Linked DNA regions of Neurospora crassa OR74A. The protein of the gene in region 2 purifies or fractionates together with the protein of the main gene of each other region. This does not show direct contact. Links are inferred from orthologs where the notes say so. Each region holds a gene or a part of one and is shown on either strand. Other genes may lie near its edges.

Region 1 (5,163 bases), about 1.7 Mb from region 2:
GATCCCTCTTTCGTACCCCAACACCAACACCGTCGTCGCCGTTCATACCCGTCCCATCCCGTCCGATTCTTCTCGTCCGACCAAGGAACATCTGGTCTTATACACATATCATACTTGCCTCTTGCCCCTCTTGTTCCTCCCTCCCCCTTCTTTCCCCCCTCTTGTCCCCCTCCCCCTTCTTTCCCCCCTTCTTTCCCCTCCTCATACCTCAACTAACAGAAGAAAGGCGACCGCATAGTAGTAGTCGTCCAAAAACAGCGCGGCGCCGACTCGGCCGGCATGGCCGCCTCTTCGGCCGCCACCAAGGTGAAGCGCGGCGACATCCGCCACGCCGTGGTAGTGCGCACCAAGCAAAAAGTCCAGCGCCGCGACGGTTCGGTCGTCCGGTTCGACGACAACGCCTGTGTCTTGATCAACAAGGCCGGCGACCCGATCGGATCGCGCATCAATGGTGTGGTGGGCCAGGAACTGCGAAAGAAAAAGTGGAGCAAGATATTGAGTATGGCGCCTATGCAGGCTTAGCTAGGCTTGATTGATCGATCAGGGAGGATATATGTACGATGGATGTAGCGGGAGAATCAAGATGGAATGAAATATGAATACCCGTAAAGAAAAAGAGTTGAGTTTGTTGGGGTGGGATGTGGCGTGACGCTCCTTGAAGTGAAGAGGAGTATGCTCGGTGGGATGTGTCATTGCGGTGACTTGGTGACTCTCGTGGGGGGTTTGGGTGTCGGCTCAGCTTGGGTTGGCTGTGTTGAGGTAATGACTGACGATGAGCGCTACGGAACATCACTTTGTTGATATCTGACGGAACTGTGGTTTGTGTGTCTACGGATTTCCAGGATGGACTTGGGATGGCCTGGCGTATACGGGTTTGAGACTGCGACGTTGTTCTCAAGGTACGACGGCTTCACACACCGGACATCACACCAAAATATGGTCTCATCGAACGGCCTTTCTTCAAGCGCCATTTTGGGTAACGATCAGCCAGCAGCAGCCGTCACATCAGTCGATTAGGTTTACCAGTCACTTCAGTTCGGGACATCAAGCGTGCCGTCCTAATCTGTGTATACTACTGTACATTACATGTCATGTCAAGCAAAACAACATCACCATTGCATATCACACGAAACAGTTTATAACGTTATCCACGAGATTCATGGAAAGACCATTTCTAAACCAGTGTCCTGCCAAAGCATGAAAAAGAAAACCAAACGCCCTAAACCGCGGTCCTTTTGAGTTAACCGTGTACAAACGCCACTGTAATGCAACTCATCATGACCCCCTGATCTTTATTAATCAACCTGTGATTTTTTCCGACCGCCCGCCTGTCCGCCTATAACAAGGATCGATCTGGCCCTATTCCTTCCGAGTGAAGAGTGAATCCCCCACTACTGGTAAATATTACCACAATCGCAGCAGACGTAGAAAAGTTTCTGAAAGTAACGTTGTTAACCCATGACTCTGGTGAGCCCCTCCCAGGCAGGTGAGTGAGTCTTACCATTCCGGTTTCCGAAGTACGCTGCTGTGACTGGAAGAAGACAGCTTCCGGGTGGTGGCAGGCAGGGCATTCCTTGATGGCTCTTGGGAGCTAGATAGCAAACGAAAGAAGAAAAAGAAGAGATTAGTCTCGATGCAAGCCAGAGCAAATGACAAGAACAAGCCAAATCCAGGTCATCGCCTCGCGGACCAGACCCCGCCACCAGACGGACGGAGACTTTTGGGTATGCGCTGTGCTATGCTATGCCGTGCTGTGTGCCAGTCGTGTCGTGTGTCGGGTGCTGTAATCCCGAAGGTGGGCGAACAACCGCGCCGCCATGATTATAGATGTATTATAATCCTGATGTAATGGGTATGCCGTAACCGTAATCGCTGTGACCGTAAAATCAAAAAGTCGTAACCTCGTGAGAGCGGGAGATGCGTCGTCTGCCGGTCATGTCCTAAGCTGCCGGGACTTGAACAGGCAGTTGGCTTGATGCCGCCAACTCCGTGTCGGTGTCGTCGAGCTCCATGTTTTCAGACTCGATGGAGTCCTCCTCTTCTTCGTAGTCCTCAAAGGCGACCAAGTTGTAAAAGTACTCTTCGGCACGGACCCTGCCCATGGCCTCCCTCTCGCTGCTGTTGGAAGCCCAGACATGACTGTTATCGCTCATGTCGATCGTGGTGGCGGCCATCTGGTCGTACAGGGACTCGCAATCGCTGCCGGCTTCGGAGTCGGAGGGAGGGGCGGCAAAGTGGTTCGAACACAGCTCGATGACGCCACAGCACTGGCAGTAGATGTAGGTCGAACCGTCGGCGGGTCGGGGCAAGGTCGACGCAGGCGAGGCGACACCATCACCAACAGCAGCAGAAGAAACAGAAGAGACAACACCCACCGTGGGATCAGAGGCGACATCCTGCGTGACACCAGCCGTCTCGCCGGCAGCGTTGTTGAGGATGTTGCGGTAGATGCACGTCGACGTGGCGGGCTCGGAAAAGTTGCAGGTGCGGCAGGTGAAGAGCAGCTTGTTCTCGTCCTCGGCCTCGCGGGGGTACAGCATGTTGCTGCATTCGGAGCAGAAGCGGAACGTGATCTGCTCAAGGGGCTTCTTCTCCTTGGCGCCACCGGTGCTAGAAGGGGCGGGCGACGACATTTTGGTTGATATGTGTTGTGTGTGTTTTGTGTGTGTATTTGTGTGTGTGGGTGTAATAATAGTTGAAAGAGAAGGCGAAAGGAAGCAGAAAGGTTGTTGTGCCCGTTCCTTTGTGTGGGTGTGTGTTGATGGTGGTTGGTGTTGTTGGGTGAATGGTAGAAATGGATGGATGGATGGATGGATGGACGGATCGCTAATTGAATGCTTGACGATCCCAAGGATGGGCTTGGTTGGCTTTCCTTGTCGGGTGGCGGAAGGATGCAAAAAACTGCTAGTGTAGTGTAGTCAAGTGGAAGTTGAATACTAAGTAGTAGTAAGCTAGTAACAGCAATTGGATCTGATACTTGTCAGCAGTTCAGAGTTAGGTGTTGCTAAAGAGGAAGAAGTTCGTCCGTGGGAAAATGAGAGTCCCAAGATGATTTTAAAAGATGGTGGAAAGAGCCGGAGGTGGAAAATGGAAAATGGAAAATGGAAAATAAAAAAGGCACTGCAGGTGAAGTGGAAGGCCAGCCGAGGAAATGACCAAGAAAGGCGTGGGTGAGGCACGACAACTCCCTCCCACCGACTGCAATGAGTGCTGTGCTGCAGTGAGCAGTCACGTTCGGTCGGGGAGGGATCCATCCAAGTGTCCAGGTGCCAACTGTAATTGCCCTGCCGGCCGGAGCAAAACAGCCCTGGGACCTTGGAAAATCGGGGCCCAAGGAGGGTGACAAGGATGGCTGCCACTGCCAAACCCCTTCACCGCCTTGCCGCTTTGGGTGAAGTCACGGTCAGGGGCAGAACACTGGACAGGCGGGACTCCAGGCTGCAAGTAACAGGCCAGTCAGACCGAAAAGTGTTGCTTGTTGCAGACCATTATTTGGCAAAGCCTCGATTTGGATGCCCGGTTTCGCATGAGCCATGATTCGTTGTGTTTTTATTGCCGACGGAGACCCGAGTGTATCAAACCGCCTCGATCCAAACTTGTCAAGTTCAATTCACTGGAGCGCCATGCATGCTTCCCTCCCCAAAGTGTCTTGTTCTTGGTGTCCTGTCTCGAGTAAACGGGCGAGGACAAGACGCAGTCAACAGGGACCGATACACCATTACAGCGCATCAGGGGCTTCAGGTCTCACACAAAATGACAAGAGAGTACACACTACTGGAATCCACAACGACGTCATGGAGTTGACCACGAGCACCTGTCTGTTAAATGTCATGAGGCTTCAGAGGGGATGGACGCCTTTGTAAATATTTATCATCGTATGTAATATGGATAGTCTTTTGTTGAAAAATTCATCTCGATGTGCCAAATCCTCTCTCTCCTCCCGCCCACCCGTGACCCCAATATTCAAGGGCACAGCAAGTCCGTGTGTGGCACCCACTCTATGCACGGAGAATCACGAGGCCCCAAGGAACTGTTGCGTGGGGTGTCCCGATGCAGCAGCAACTGACGACGGATCGAGAAAGTGTGGATGGCTCATGAGAGGGCGACGAGGATCATGGTGCTCATCCGATGCTACACAGCACACGACCGGGCTGCAGGTTCGCAGCTTTGGTTCCTGTTGTCGAGAACCAACGGGCCGGTACTTCAAGTCTTTCATGTTTGGTGAGGTGTGACCTTTTTGATGAAAACAAAGTATAAAAAACCAGCATGAATTGTTAGTACAACTGGTATCAGTTCAAGTGGCTTCCATAACTCAACCTAATTCATCTCAAATAGAGAACTAAATGAGGCCATCAAGGTGATAAAGAATACTAGAGGTAAGCAAGCAGCCTCAAGCTGACCAAGCAACAACTCGGAGGATGGCAGTGGCACCCACACGAGGACATGTCGACAAGGACAAGAACCTGCTGGGCTTGCCACACCATCCCACTAACAAGATGGTGCCCCTGACAGCTCCGTCCCCGCGAACGAATCCCCAATCGCGGAAAACACAACGGGCGGTACTATGGTACCTATGTACCTGTCCCCTTGCCCGACCCCGCTCCCCCAGAGAAAGTCCCCGCTTTTTGTGCCTTGTGAGGTGTGGAGCCGCCGACAAGCTGACGTCCCTGACGACGGAGAGCTCCATTGCCTAGAACCGGGAGAGTCTTGGCCGGAGTGGTGCTGGATGTTTCTCTGCCTGTTCCTCCTTCCCCCCCCGCCGTTGCCAGGTGATCTAAAAAGTTCAATTCTCCCTTTGTCAATTTCTCCTTCTGTTTTCCATCTCTCCTTTTTGTAGTCGCTTTCTAATTCTCATTGTCGAAGCTCTACCGGCGCAACTCAAGGTACGTCACCATGCCCCTCGCTGGTTGATCACGCGAGTCGCAATTGCGCCTGAACCTCCTTCTCCCCGTTGACATCGCGACCGCCACAAGGCTATCCGCCTACAGTACTCGAGGACTAAGCTACTTACTGACCGCGAACCGCATCGTGCTCTCACAGAACCGACCTACGAACCAATCACCACTACAACCACCACCAAAACCGTCATAATGTCCAACGCAAGTCAACCCACCACTCGCAACATCCAGAACAACAGAGCTGACCCCCCCCCTTCCCCCCTTC
Region 2 (3,398 bases):
TTCAGGAATGGAGCAAATTGGAGACAGCCTATCGCATCCCGCGCAAGAAGCTCGACCCCTCCGCTCCCGTAACCACAAATTCGTTTGAGGATGACCGCCGCAACGTCAATCATGAGGAGCATCCCTCAAGACCTGTCAATCCGTTCGAGAACATGGTTGTGCCCACGGGTCCCCGCAGCAACATTCCCCAACGGAACATGAACTACTTCAACAACCAGAGACCACGCAAGCTTCCAACGAATCTTCCTGCAGGATGGTTTGTCACCACTGACAGCACAGGCAAATACTACTTTTACGACAAGAGCGGCCATACCCAGTGGCAGCGACCTACAACGCCTGCTGTCGACGTGCCCAAGCCCTCTGCCAAGGTGGAACAAAACCAAAAGGCTCTGCAGGATATCATCGACAGTTTGACCAAGGAGCCGACGCCCCGCCATTCTGCGAACCAAACCCCTAAATCTAACACACCCGTGCCAGACAATGGTAAGAAGGAGAAGTGGAGGTCTCTTCCGGTTGAGAAACAGATGAAGATTTACGAAAACACGGTATGTCCAATCCCGGAAGCCAACTGCCCCTCCTATTGCGGTGACGCTAAACAAAGTACTTTCAGCTCTTTCCTCATGTGAAATACGTCATGGACAAGTTTCACCGAAGACTTCCCAAGGAAGACCTCAAGCGGTTTGGCCGTGAGATCAACAAGAAACTGGTTGCTTCCGACTACAAGAACCACCGTGTCGATGACCCTACGACCATTTCCTCCAACCAGGCAAGGAAGATCAAGAAATTTGTCAAGGACTTCTTTGATCGTGCTGTGGTCAAGCACAGGGAAAACGAGCAGCGCGCTGCACAGAAAGCCGGGCCATCATCTTCCGGCGCCCCATCGCCTACCAACGGCGGTTCAGCCAAGTCACCACTTGGCCGTAACGGCGCCAGCAATGCCACCGTCAAGACCCAGCAGCCCGACGCCGATGGCGATATTGTCCTTACAGACGTGGAGGATGAGGGCGAGAATACTCCTGCCACCTCCAGCTCAGACCGCAAGAGGAAGCGTGCGGAAGAGCAAGAGGTTCCGGCGCCGGCATCCGAAGCGATACCTTCACCGAAGCGAGCCAAGGAGGACTCGACAACCGAAGACTCGATCCCCAGCCCTCCGCCCCCTCCGCCGCCGCCGACAGATACTCCACTCACCGAAGAGGAGCGATCAATGCGCGAGCAAGAGGAGGCCTTAATGAGGGAGAACGAAGAAGCGCAGAGGCTGGAGGACGAGGAGGCCGAGCGCCGGGTGAGTGTTACTGTTCAGGGAGCGGCTGTCGCGACCAGCAAGGTGAACGGAGTAAATGGGACCAAGGCCCACCATACCTCAGAGGCATCACCTGCTGTTTCCGATGAGAATGGGATGGACGCTGGTCGTGATGAGAAGAGTCATGAGCAAATGGCACAACAGGAGCCCGTCAGTCGTTAGCTATCTTTTATAAGTTCTTTTTCTTTCCTTTTTTTTTTTTTTATCTTTCTTCTTTCTTTCTTCTTCCGGGTGTGTGGAAAAGAGTCCAATGGTTGTTGAAAGCAAATCATGGACAGAGAGGCACAGTTCAAGGGAAATGCTTGAATGGCTCTTTCCTTATCGGTTCGTTGCATGAAAAGGTTACCGCCTAACCGCCCTGGAATCATTGTTGGCTGGTTGGCATTAGAAAAGTGGTTGGTTTGGTGGGTACTCGTTTATCCGGTTCATGTTGGTGGGTCGGTTGGTCGGTTGGTCATATATCCAAAATCGGTCGGTACACGGTCCAAAGGGTTGATGGTTTCCTGAGTTATCATTCTCAGCACGTCTAATGTCCGAGGAAAGGTGGACGAACAGACAGACAGGCATGGACTCTTGTTATTGCTTTCCTACGATGTTCCACTTTCATCAGCAACAAGTTTATCTTTATATTCAGGTCTAGATCGATGACGGATTGGGTGATGGATGTGCCGGTGCTGGGGACAATTCGACAGTCATCAACATATAGGCGGTAGGCTACTATAATTGGTGGACGAGGGGTACCAGTATTGCTGGCTGACTTTTCAGTCATGGACACACACGCACCTGCCCCCTTGTATTGCCTTGGAGGAATTTTTTTTATTGGTAGAGAACGCAATACCGCATTTTGACAACGGACGTGGTCGTGATGGTGGTGGCGACACTGCTGGTGGTGGTGGCGGTGGTGGTGGTGGATTGACACACACACACACACACAAATGATAGCAGATACATCCATCCTCGCTACATCCCAAACGGCCGGGCAGCTTCTGGCAGCTGATCGCTGGAGGAGCTGGTGTTGAAAAAAAGTATATCTACAGGAACCATGATACAGGTGGACTTCACAGTGAAGATATCTGCCAATAGCAGACGTGTGGCTACAGTGGACCTGGGTGGCAGATGCCTACTTGGTTGCTTGTTTCAAACTCATACAGAGCTCCCTCTTTGTCTCACCAACTCCTTTCCCTCTCCCTTTTTCTTTTCTTTTCTTTTCTTTTTCGTTGCTCTCTTTCTCTTTCTCTTTTTAAGGCGTTAGGTCTCAAAAACAAAATGGGAATCGGAGATATGGAAAAAGCATTAATCGGCAACGGCGTTTATTATTATTTTTTTATTATTATTTTTTTTATTTTTTTTGGGAAGTACCCGGAGTGAGATGAGAAACAAAGGCGTTCGTTCGCGTTTTTGATCTTGCCTATATATGTACACAGTAGTAGTTCCTTGTGGAAATCTATCGCATGGCATTGTTGTTTTCATCACTTGCGGTTTGGGTTTCTCATGGTATTCATTGTTATTGTTTTGCTCTTCATTAGGGGCAAGCAAGCGAGCCAGCAAGCAAGCAAGCAAAGTGGTAAACAGGCAGCCGGACTGGAACTGGACAGACGGGCGAGTGCAAACTGGTGCGAAAAGGCACATGGCAGAAGATAAGTAGGAAAGAGATAAAAGACATAGTGGGAAACTTGGACTCCGTTTGGCGAACTGGGGGGATATAATAAGCTAGAGAGAGAGGGAGACATCGATACGCTTGCCATTTCGTTGTACTCACGGCGATTGGGGATGTGATGTGGGTTGAACGAGGGAATATACCGCTGTTTGATAACATGGAATCTAGAAAATATTCTCTCATGAGTAGAACGTATTTGACAACAATGTTATTGGGTGGATACGGGAATTTTCGGGGGACAGTCTGATCATAGCGGTGAAGTCTTTTCGCTCGCTCGCTCGCTCGTGCTTGTAAGCATGAGCTCTGCGAAGATCTCGGTGGATCTTCGTCTACTTATTCACGTAAACACAAGTTTCAAACGTACTCGGCTCTTATGCATATCCGACGAGGCAACACGACCAAGTAATGGAACGTGAAAATTGCAGACCGTGAATCAAGAGC
Region 3 (5,236 bases), on a different chromosome or scaffold from region 2:
TTGAGACCTCGGGCTCTGCGTTCCCTGCTACGCTGGCGCTCGAGGTCAACCGGCTGGCGAGGGAGACGGGGGGCCAGTATGTGCTGGATGGCGTGGTGAGCGTGATTGATGTGGAGAATTGGAAGGGGTATGAGGATACTAGCTATACGGCGCGGATTCAGGCGCGGTATACGGATCTGATTGTGTTTAACAAGTGGGAAGGGGCGGGGGAGAGGAGGTTTGACGAGGTTTTGGATAGGGTGGGAGATTTGGAGGTGGACACAGCGTGGGTGAAGAGTGATAAGGGGTGGGTGGATATGTCGGTGGTGTTTGGGATTGATGGGGGGTTGGCGAGGGGTCTTACGGAAGAGGATGGGCATGTTCACGATGACAAGTGTGGACATGACGATAAGCATAAGCATGATCATCAGACGGAGGTGGAGGTGTTGAGTATTGAGCTTAAGAGCGGCAACAGAGAAGCGACGGTGGATGCGACGAAGCTGTTGGCTTTCTTGAGGAAAACGAACAAGGACGAGGTGTACAGGATCAAAGCCGTGTTGGCGGTTTCTGCGAAAACTGCGCGGGAGGTGCTGAAGAATTCGGATGAGGATACCAAGGTTCCAGTACCACCTACGTCCGCGGGAAGCGAAGCTCAAACGACGAGGTATATCCTCAACTGGGCGTTTGGAAGGTGGACGTTTACACCTGTTGCGGCTGAAGTCAAGGAGCACGAATCCAGCAGTGAGGCGATACTGAGGATGACCATGATTCTGGCCAGGTATGAGAGCACCAAGTGGAAGAAGAGACTGGAGGCTGGTGGGTTGTTGGAGCTTGAAGAGGAGAATGGGAAGGGCGAGTTGAGCGTTACCAAGGTCAACTAGAGAGCGGCACGTTTGATAGACGAGGAGCTATGGATTATGTATGAACGAACAATAAGACTTCGGGATAGAATAGAGCGCACCTGATGGGAGCAAATAGAAGCAGACGTCCCAAAGACATATTGACAAACTTCTTAAAAATTCAACATCCACTCCTCGCATACTCTCACCACAAGACACCTTGAACAAATCTATGGTTCCCATTCTGCCCTAGCATTGAGCGAGTAAACGGAGAGATCTGTCAAAACCCCTTATTTTCCATATCCCATGCATGTCTTGATCATTAACGCCTGCAAAGAGACTGACTGAAAAGCATCCTCAAAGAAAATCCCTAAACGCCGTTTTTGAATGACGACCGATCCGATCAACAAAACAGCAAAGATAATGAGCTAATCATGTTTTCACCGTCCATGCCACCATCGCATCTCTTTTCCCACCCCCCCAATTCAGCATCGGACGACCTTCGTAAACTTTCCTCCGGCAGTCAAGTAAAGTAAAGTAAAGGCGTGTCGGGAGTAGAGTAAACACCGCGAACAACCCCGTTAAGGCGGGCATCGATTCGATCAGTAATGACCGCCATTAGCGCCGCCGTTCACGCCGCCTCCCTGCTCGCCCTGGTCAGCATACTGGCGCAGGGCAAGCTCCTTCTGGAACTCGCGGCCCAATTGGCCGTACATGGCCACGAGCTGCTTGCACGCGCCAACGAGAGCCTCGCGCGGGGTGATGCTTCCGTCTGTCTGGATACGGATGAAGAGTTCCGGCACGTTAGGGTGGGCAACTAATAATTACGTGTCAGTCAGTTTCTGTTTATCTCGCCATGGGTGGTGGTGGTGGTGGTGGTGAGGGTTTGTGTGGGGAGGGGGGGTAAAGAGAAGAAAAGTAAAAGTGAAGTAAGACGCGGCGGTACGACGTGACGTACTCTTGTATCCTGCCATCAAGACATGAGGGGCCTGCTTCAGATGTTCGGCGAGGAGGTTGCCGAGGGTGTGGTCCTCCTTGAGAATCTTGAAGTCGGAGGTGTTCGACATGCCTATCCAAGTAATGGAAAAAAAAATCGGGGTCAGTTTTCTTGCCATTTCCTTCTTCTACTATTTCTTCTTCTCCCCACGTATCACCTCATTATCAAGAAGATGAGGAGATCGACTCGACTCACCAGTGAAAACCTTCTCCTCAATCTTCTTCTCTCCATCCTGGAGAAGGAAGAGCTCGAACCTGGTTGTTTTTGGAAGCAAATGTCAGTAATGTTTTCCTACTACCCAAAAGTGAGGTAATGATGAGAGTATAAACGGAAAGAAGAAGGCGGACCGGTTCGGCTCGCTGTTTTGCTTGGGATTGGCTCCGCTCATCTTGTTGATCTTGGTCCTGTTCGCTGTTGCCAGGTGACGAGGAGGGCATGGAATCAATATCCTTCTTGTCGTGATGGACTGTGTGCTAGTCCAAAGGGATGTTGGTTTGACGAAGGGTTTAAGTGGTGTATGAGGAGGAAGTCGTCCGCCTTTTATATCGTTGACAGCCAGCGACTCTCCATCCAGATTGAGTTTGGTCAAGGTGAATCCGTGGTAGACAAGTTACCCACCAACTCCCAGATCGCTAGTCTCCCAGCTGCCTCGCCTGCCTGTTGCCTTCCATTTGCGTCCATGGTCCATGATCAGATGAAAGCCGTCCCGTTTGTTTCGCGTTCAAAACAATAGGCACCTGGCACCAGCAACCAGACAAACACCGCCTACCGGAGGGGAAGATTGAACCAAGCTCGTAGACCATGAAGGATAGACACGTAAGGCTAAGAACTGGGGCGGACTATTCGAGTGTCTGCCTGTCCGTCCAGGTCGATTTGTTCCATTGTCGTACTGAGATGAGTTGACATTGCGGTTCCAGTCGACACCGGCATGTGACATAATGACTTTTGACATAGTCGTTATGATTCCTTGTCGAACGCCCTCAAGAGATTTAAGGCAACCCAGGTCGAGTGTTTCCGGCATTTGCGTGAGGCGCGTCGTCCAGGGCAGAAGGAAGAGGGGGGTTGGTTTCTCCATGTGGAAAGAAACCAGCAAGAAGAGAAGATTCTACTAACCTATCAGGGGCGTTCATTTTGGCGATTGGCTAACGATATGACGTAGAGCTCGTTGTTGGTTATCGGTGGTGTATAAACGATTGTCGTCGTCGCCCGATATCGTGAATTTGCGATATGGTGTTGAGGTTGAGACCGGGGGGTGACGATGTCAACTGCTCAAGAACGTCGAGTGGTTGATGTAGCAATTGTGTAGATTCGCTCTTATGGCGGGACCGGGGGAACGTAGGAATTTCGATACCCAAAATTGGAGCGTGAATGGGACAGACTACCAAAGGTTTCAGTCGCTCAGGTTTTGATACTGCTCGTCAGCTGGTGAAGGTTTTGATCTTGGTGAAGGGGGTGGGATGTTTTAACACAAGTGAACGCACTTGATCGATGTCTTCGAGGTCGTCCAGGTTGCGCATCCACTGTGAGATGGGGGCAACGCAGTTGGAGCACTGAACTCCGGATCAAGGTACGTGTGGTCTGTGCGCTCAGTTATTTCAGCGCCATCCCGCTTTTGGATGACTCGGTCCGCTGGGCTGTATACATACATGCTTGCAAGGGAGGGTTAGGGTTCAACAAAGAAAGAAAGCAGTGAGCTTGCTTGTTGGCGAAGCAGACGACGGCGACACACTGTGGGGAAGGAACTCTTTCCAACCATGAAATGAGGATGGTAGTATGCAAAGAGTAAACCGATATATGGAAGGTCATCGTAGCTACCACACTGTTCGCTCGAACACTGTTTGCAATGGGAGAGAAAGGCCGCCCCTCAAAGAGTCAGAGATTGTAGAGACTGCTAGGGAGAATAAACCCAGTAATGACACGTCAAAACAACAGTAAAATGACATCGACACCATAGACGTACAATGGGGAAAATGCCAGACTAATCAATTTATTCAAAAGTCAAACTATTCTCGCTCCATCGTTATGGTAACGAGCTTCTTCAAACAAACAGGGAAACGCTTCCCTCACGATGCAATACAAACTCTAGACATGCTTCTCGGCAACAGATTGCTCACTCCCATCAAGTCTACAGTGTAGTCCATCCCACAATCATCTAGTCATAACCCATATGTCTTGCTCTCATCATGTCGACCCCTATCCCATGATTTCCTTTCATTCTATACAACCATAATCATATCGTCGGATCCATTGTTCTTGATAAACCCCAACGCTCGTCCCATATAATCAAGAGGATACTCATGACTCATTCCGTGATCAATACGTACACGTTTGCACGCCTTTACGGGTTCAATCCCTTAGCATCGCAATAGCCAGGCGATTCTCCGCCCTCTCCAGCGCCGGCCCAGCTCATGACAGTCAAGGTAGTCGTGTACGCCATGGCAATGAAGCCAAAGACGCACAGGGCAACATCCGAGAATTTCCAGAGAGCGCTTCTGGCGACGCCCCTGTAGTGCAGCATCGGCTGTTTGTGACTGTGTTAGCGTCTGATTGATCATCTACACAAGAAGGAGCAAGGGTACGTAGCAAAACTCACCGGATAGATATACACCAACGGGATGCAAGCAAAGTTACCGACCAGTGCGACGAACTTGTCCAAGTTATCGGCACCCGCCCATGCAACCATGGCGCAGAAAGCGACGACAAAGAAGCGGAACACGTTCTTCTGCCACTTGATATACGGATTGTACTTTCCGCTCTTCGTGAAGAGTGCATTCTCCGTGATCCTGATGGCGGGGAAGATCTGCAGTGGGGTCGAAAGCAGGATGGCGAGCGAGTAGAGGAACTGCACGCCGTTGACCATTTTGTTGTCCTGGGGCAAGTTGAGGAGCACGACTGTCTCGGTCTTGGAGCCGTAGGCGGCATAGGAGACGGCGCCCATAACGGTGAACAAAGTGGTGATGATGATCATGACGACGGCCATCACCTTGGGGAACTTCTCCGGGTTTCTCATGGACTCCTGGATCGGGATGATGAGGCCGATGCCCTCAAAGGTAAAAATGGCGGTGCCGATGAAAAGGGTCCAGTCCTTCTGGTTGAACATGATGATGTCGGCCAGGCCCGAGGTGTTGAGAGTCAGGACGTCGTAGTAGAAGAGGTAGGCCAGACCGATGACGATGAAGGCGTCAGCAATAAGCGCAGTGAATCCCAATTTGCCAATATCACGCAGCAGCGAGAACGGCAGGAAGATGATCATTTGCATGATAATCAGCCATGATATAGAGATGTAGGTCTTGCAATTGGTGACGGCAAGGATGAATGCTTGCAAGTTCTCCGACGTGAAGACGATGTAAGCCGCCACGAAACCCAGTTGACTGATGACGATGGAGAAGAGAATCAGGTTTCGCATCCACTTGCCATAGAG
Region 4 (5,036 bases), on a different chromosome or scaffold from region 2:
CCAGTAGCATGCCTGGTAAATAGGTAGTTCGGTATATCTGAAGTATGCCCAAAATCGTTTTTATATCCTTTTGCCCGCTTGCCCATTCCCTTTCACAAGCAACGCTTTAGTTGCCGTGGTATATATGCTTGGTCAAAACAAAACCCTAAAAACCAGAGAGGAGGTCATTATATAATACATGAGATTGTAAAGAGACCTGTGAACGCCGTTTTTTGTTCCTGCGCGCGGGGGAAGCGGGCATATGTTGCATACAATTCGTTTTGTGTTGGATGTTGTACACGGGGCTTATTACAGTCGAGCCCCTTTTTCCTCTTTATATCTTCTTTTTTCGGTTTCCCTGGCTATATCTTGAGCCCCATATATTGAACATTCCTTTCTTCAGGGGCTTGTTCTCATGTCGTGTCATGACATGACATCTCAGGGTATCCTGCCCTGCTAAGCCCTGCCCCGCTAAGCCCATGCCAAGAATCTCTCCGTAGCCCTTTTCCGGTTGTTGGATGAAACAGAAAGAGACATTTATTTGTTCTTGACGACGCCGACCTGGGCAGGGCGAAGGACGCGGCCGTTGAGCTTGAAGCCCTTCTGCTGGACGTGGAAGACGACGTTGTGCTCCTTGTCGGGCATGGGCGCCATGAAGGTGGCCTCGTGCTCGTTGGGGTTGAAGACCTCACCCTCAGGTTCGATGCGCTCAAGACCGTGCTTCTTGAGGGTCGAAAGGAGGATGCTCTCGGTCATCTTGAGACCCTCGTAGAGGTTGACGAGGTCCTTGAGGTGCTCAGACTGCTCCTCCGACTTGAGCTTGTCCTGAGGAACCACGCTCAAGGCGCGCTCGAAGTTGTCGACGCTTTCAACGAGGTCCTTGGCGAACTTTTGAATGGCAAAGTCCTTGGCCTGCTTGACGTCGCGGGCGGTGCGCTCCTGGAGGTTGCGGAAGTCGGCGACGGTGCGAAGGCACTTGTCCTGTAGAGAGGGGCATCCCGTGTAAGTGACTTGTCCATCATGGCTGTATGTGCATATGCTTTGAAGCTCAAGAACCAACCTTCCACTCGCGGGCCTCGGCGTCCTTGGCCTCGAGCTGCTTCTTGAGGGCAGCAACTTCATCGGTCTCACCCTCCTTCTGCTCGGCGCCCTCGTCGGCCTTCTTCTCACCCTCAGCCTCGGCGCTGTACCACCGGGCGGCGGAGCGCAGCTGGGGAGCAGCTGTCCGGGCAGCTTGCATCTGGAAGATCTGGGAAGCAATAGGGCGCTGGGCGGCAACGCGGGCGCCGGAGCAGAGGGCTCTGGAAGAGCGGGTGAGGGCTGTTCGTAGCATGTTGGCTGGGTATCTGGATGTGACGGGTGGTGAGATGTGGCGATGTCAGAGACAGGGAAGCGTCGCGTGTTGAGAGAGGCACTTTCTCAGAAATTTTGAGACAGCTGCGCTAGCACGGGACGGAGACGGCATGGACGGGCGGCGGGTTGGGCGGCCAACAGGGGCCTTCGCAGTGTCTCCCACAGTGGGATGGTGGGAGGGTGGGTGCTGCTGCTGCATCAATCCTGTCGGCCGGCTGGGCGGGAGCGAACCGAAAAGCGGGTCATGAACGGACCGCCCAAAATCGACGAATTGCCTGCCGGACCATCGAGTTTTGCTCAAATCGACAATTGGAGCTTCGACACCTCAGCGCCCCGGGTGTGCCTGGCGGGGCTCTTTTGTGCGGGGGAGTCGAGATGGACCTGGCTGCTCCTACCTACTCTGTTAAAGACACGCCGTGGAGTTAGCCAACGCCAGGTCATGTGAAGATAAGGCCAGCTTAATCCTGGTCACTTTGTCTGCCCGCTGCGGCCTCAGCCAGAGGCAAGATTGGCGACTGGCCGCACTCAGTCCTACCATAGGTGGTGGCGCCTCCGAACCTCGACCCGTCAACGCGCCGGAAACCGAAATCAGTCCGCAACTTGCATTTCGCATCAACCGGCCCTCAACAAAGGCCACCTCAACCGCAACTCACCCTGCCTCGAACCACAACTTCCTGAACCGTTTCTCCCCCCGCATCCAAATTTTATCATACACCACAAAACGTACCATCGAGAACTGCCGACTGTAGCGAGAACAACTGACCGACCGCCGGTCAACACGCAAAGATGGATTACGATCCGATGGTGATGGACGACGCCGAGTCCCTGGGACCGGTCGTCAAGATCTCACAAGTATGTTCTGTGTGCTCTTGCTCACAGCAATTGCGCTCAGCTGCTCGTTCATCGTTCTAAACCATCATTCTAGGCGGACAACACCCGAGTCAAGTTTGAGCTCTCCAACACCGAGCTCAGCTTCGCCAACTCCCTTCGTCGCGTCATGCTTGCCGAGATTCCCACGATTGCCATCGATCTAGTCGAGATCGAGGCCAACAGCTCCGTTTTGGCCGACGAATTCATTGCCCACCGCCTGGGCCTGATTCCACTCAACGCCGAAGGTATCGAGCAGCTTCTGTATTCTAGGGACTGCGACTGCGACGAATACTGCGAGCATTGCAGTGTGACCCTCAACCTTCACGCCAAGTGCACTGGCGACGACATCATGCAAGTCTGTGCCCGCGATCTTGTTCCAGTCGGCGATCGCGTCAACCAAGTTCTCGGCTCGCCTATCATCAATGATCCTGAAGGCCAAGGTCCCCTCATCCTCAAGCTTCGTCACGGTCAGGAGATCAAGCTCCAATGCATCGCGAAGAAGGGTATTGCAAAGGAGCATTCCAAATGGGCCCCAAGTGCCGCCATCGGCTTCGAGTACGATCCTCACAACAAGCTGCACCACCTCGACTTGTGGTATGAGCAGGATCCTAAGAAGGAGTGGTAAGTACATTCCATCATCTTCACTTTTTCCAATTCCCTTTGATGTGACCGATGTCTCACCATTTTGTTTTTCTCTCCAGGCCTCCTTCGGAGTACGCCGACTGGGAGGAGCCTCCCCAGGAGGGCGAACCGTTCGATTACGATGCCGTACCACAACGCTTCTACTACAACGTCGAAACCGCCGGTCCTATTCCCCCTGATGCTATTGTCACTGAAGGCATCAAGGTCATCCAGCAGAAGTTGGCTGGTCTGATCCACGAACTTACCGAAAGCGATGGTGGTGAGAACGGATACAACGGACCGCGCAGCCCAGGCTACAACGAAGGTGGCGACAACTGGAACGACCAAGGATCGTTTACGCCATATGGAAACGGAGGAAACCAGAGCTCTTGGGGAGGTCAGGGAGGTACCACGCCCTACGGAGCGACTCCCTACGGAGGCGGCCAAAACCCTTGGTCTTGAGCATCATATGCTTACAGTTTACGATTTGCGACGTCAATTACTCCTCCTGATGGCTTGCGAGGTCATTGCGCCTGTCTTTTCCGGGAGGTTTTGGGTATCTGCGGTATCTTTGCGGCGCGAGTTCGAGCTGCGCACTTCGATTAACAACACAACACTTTTACCATTCAAACAAGATTGAGATTCGCATTCCTATACACACACTCGCGCCATCACCACCAGCTCAGCATCTACTTAGTAATCGTGGCGCCTCCGTCTCTTACTGCGGGGACCGTAACTCAACCACACTTTGTGGCTGAGGCCCACGGAACGGATCAGGGCCAAATATCGGACTTTTGGCGCTAGGCACGAGCCGCCACGTCAAGGTCAATTTTGGGGGAAACTGGGAAAAGGAACTTTGGGAGCTGGATCTTGACATTAGGGGAGAGGAGAGAGGCGCATTCTGAAGGGATTCAAGTCAGGGCGAGAGGAACCAGAGCATATCTTATTTGAGCGTCCCTCGTCCAGACACCACATATACTAGGCAGCGGAACGAGGACAGCTCTCTCTGTTATTGGCACCCTGCAAATGATCTATCGCACAATTGCGAGGTATAGACAAAAGGTGAATATAGTTACCATGGTCTGGCGACTACATAGGGGACCAAAATACCCAAAAAAAACATTCATAAACGGTTCGAAAGTGCGAGGTTCATAAAAAATCAAGATGCCATTCTCGCCGGTTGCTGGAGTCTAGTAAGCACTTGCTGCTCTGGTCTATTTGCTTTACACAACTCTGCAGGAAACACCAAACTCCCAGGGTAAGACTACATAAAGCCAAAACACCATCGAAATGACAGCCCTACCGCCGCTTCAATGCCTGACGGATGAGGGAACATCTAACAAAGGAAACCTATGAACAAGAAAACATGAGGTATCGCCATCTAGGTCCTGACAGAAAGACCACCACTCGGCCTCTAAAATGCAGATTTCCTCTATACAAATCCGGCCATTATGTCCCCACCCACAAACTTTTTGATTGAAATGCATTTGAAAACCCGCTGTTGCTGCTGCTAGTCCGTCTAAGAAGCAGACTCCCAAGACTGGACATGGGAGGAAAGGTGAAGAAAGAAAGAGAGATTAGAAAAGGTAGGTAGCCAGGAAGAGGAGCAAATGACAACTCATTCCTCAATGCCCTTGACCTTCTTGTACATCTTCCGATGGCCCTCCAAGAAGATGAAGGTGCAAATCGTTTGTCTGTCCGCGTCAATACCTCGTTAGCACAATCATATCCATGAAACTTTCGCGGAAGACCACATCCATAAAGGCAAAGGAAAAAAAGAGAAAAAAAAAAAAAAAAAAAAAAAAAAAAAAAAAAAAAAAAAAAAAAAAAAAAAAAAAAAAGGAGGGAATCAACTTACGGCCCCAACCTCAAAAAACTCGGCACCCATCCCTTAAACATCCACCTCACCCCTTCCTGGGCATACAAGCTCCCCAACACCTGCCCGATACTACTTTTCCCGCTCGCGCTCATGACCCGCGTCTTGACCACATCAATCGGGCTCGTCACCGTCGCCGCCGCCACGCCCGCCAGGAAACTGGCGCTAAAGTGCGTCGCCAGGTTATCCTCCAAGGGCGTATGTCTAATCAAGATGCGCTTGAACACATCGTAACTAGCCAGCTGGCTGGCCGTCATGGCGGCCGCCCTCGCACTATTGGGCCAAACACCCCTAAACCAGCTCCGGAACCCTTCCTCGCGCGTCATCCGCGCTAGGC

The links.
Region 1: the proteins of set-2 (region 2) and NCU08553 purify together in Saccharomyces cerevisiae (affinity purification with mass spectrometry; 3 studies listed by BioGRID). This does not show direct contact. The link is inferred for Neurospora crassa OR74A from reciprocal best matches to the Saccharomyces cerevisiae genes SET2 and RPB9.
Region 3: the proteins of set-2 (region 2) and NCU03782 purify together in Saccharomyces cerevisiae (affinity purification with mass spectrometry, with the first as the bait; 3 studies listed by BioGRID). This does not show direct contact. The link is inferred for Neurospora crassa OR74A from reciprocal best matches to the Saccharomyces cerevisiae genes SET2 and RPB11.
Region 4: the proteins of set-2 (region 2) and NCU01515 purify together in Saccharomyces cerevisiae (affinity purification with mass spectrometry; 7 studies listed by BioGRID, with this or other methods). This does not show direct contact. The link is inferred for Neurospora crassa OR74A from reciprocal best matches to the Saccharomyces cerevisiae genes SET2 and RPB3.

What each region holds. Positions count from the first base shown.
Region 1 is NC_026503.1:4,947,812-4,952,974, reverse strand, and holds NCU08553 (DNA directed RNA polymerase II 15 kDa subunit), read right to left. Parts: upstream 3,200-5,163; 5' UTR 2,634-3,199; coding exon 2,376-2,633; intron 1,592-2,375; coding exon 1,502-1,591; intron 1,437-1,501; coding exon 1,392-1,436; 3' UTR 1,030-1,391; downstream 1-1,029. Other genes in the region: NCU08552 (mitochondrial 54S ribosomal protein YmL38/YmL34), read left to right, coding at 227-522; peptidyl-prolyl cis-trans isomerase ssp-1, read left to right, coding at 5,091-5,099. UniProt on the Saccharomyces cerevisiae protein: DNA-dependent RNA polymerase catalyzes the transcription of DNA into RNA using the four ribonucleoside triphosphates as substrates. Component of RNA polymerase II which synthesizes mRNA precursors and many functional non-coding RNAs.
Region 2 is NC_026503.1:3,238,780-3,242,177, forward strand, and holds the end of set-2 (histone-lysine N-methyltransferase), read left to right. Parts: coding exon 1-545; intron 546-610; coding exon 611-1,462; 3' UTR 1,463-2,205; downstream 2,206-3,398. UniProt on the Saccharomyces cerevisiae protein: Histone methyltransferase that trimethylates histone H3 'Lys-36' forming H3K36me3. Involved in transcription elongation as well as in transcription repression.
Region 3 is NC_026505.1:2,390,065-2,395,300, forward strand, and holds NCU03782 (DNA-directed RNA polymerase II subunit RPB11), read right to left. Parts: upstream 3,330-5,236; 5' UTR 2,946-3,329; coding exon 2,929-2,945; intron 2,070-2,928; coding exon 2,011-2,069; intron 1,888-2,010; coding exon 1,777-1,887; intron 1,636-1,776; coding exon 1,421-1,635; 3' UTR 982-1,420; downstream 1-981. Other genes in the region: NCU03781 (CobW domain-containing protein), read left to right, coding at 1-860; NCU03783 (transmembrane domain transporter), read right to left, coding at 4,154-4,336, 4,409-5,236. UniProt on the Saccharomyces cerevisiae protein: DNA-dependent RNA polymerase catalyzes the transcription of DNA into RNA using the four ribonucleoside triphosphates as substrates. Component of RNA polymerase II which synthesizes mRNA precursors and many functional non-coding RNAs.
Region 4 is NC_026502.1:3,217,934-3,222,969, forward strand, and holds NCU01515 (DNA-directed RNA polymerase II polypeptide), read left to right. Parts: upstream 1-1,878; 5' UTR 1,879-2,118; coding exon 2,119-2,184; intron 2,185-2,257; coding exon 2,258-2,823; intron 2,824-2,903; coding exon 2,904-3,285; 3' UTR 3,286-4,007; downstream 4,008-5,036. Other genes in the region: NCU01516 (mitochondrial co-chaperone GrpE), read right to left, coding at 517-960, 1,040-1,312; NCU01514 (mitochondrial dicarboxylate carrier), read right to left, coding at 4,442-4,517, 4,682-5,036. UniProt on the Saccharomyces cerevisiae protein: DNA-dependent RNA polymerase catalyzes the transcription of DNA into RNA using the four ribonucleoside triphosphates as substrates. Component of RNA polymerase II which synthesizes mRNA precursors and many functional non-coding RNAs.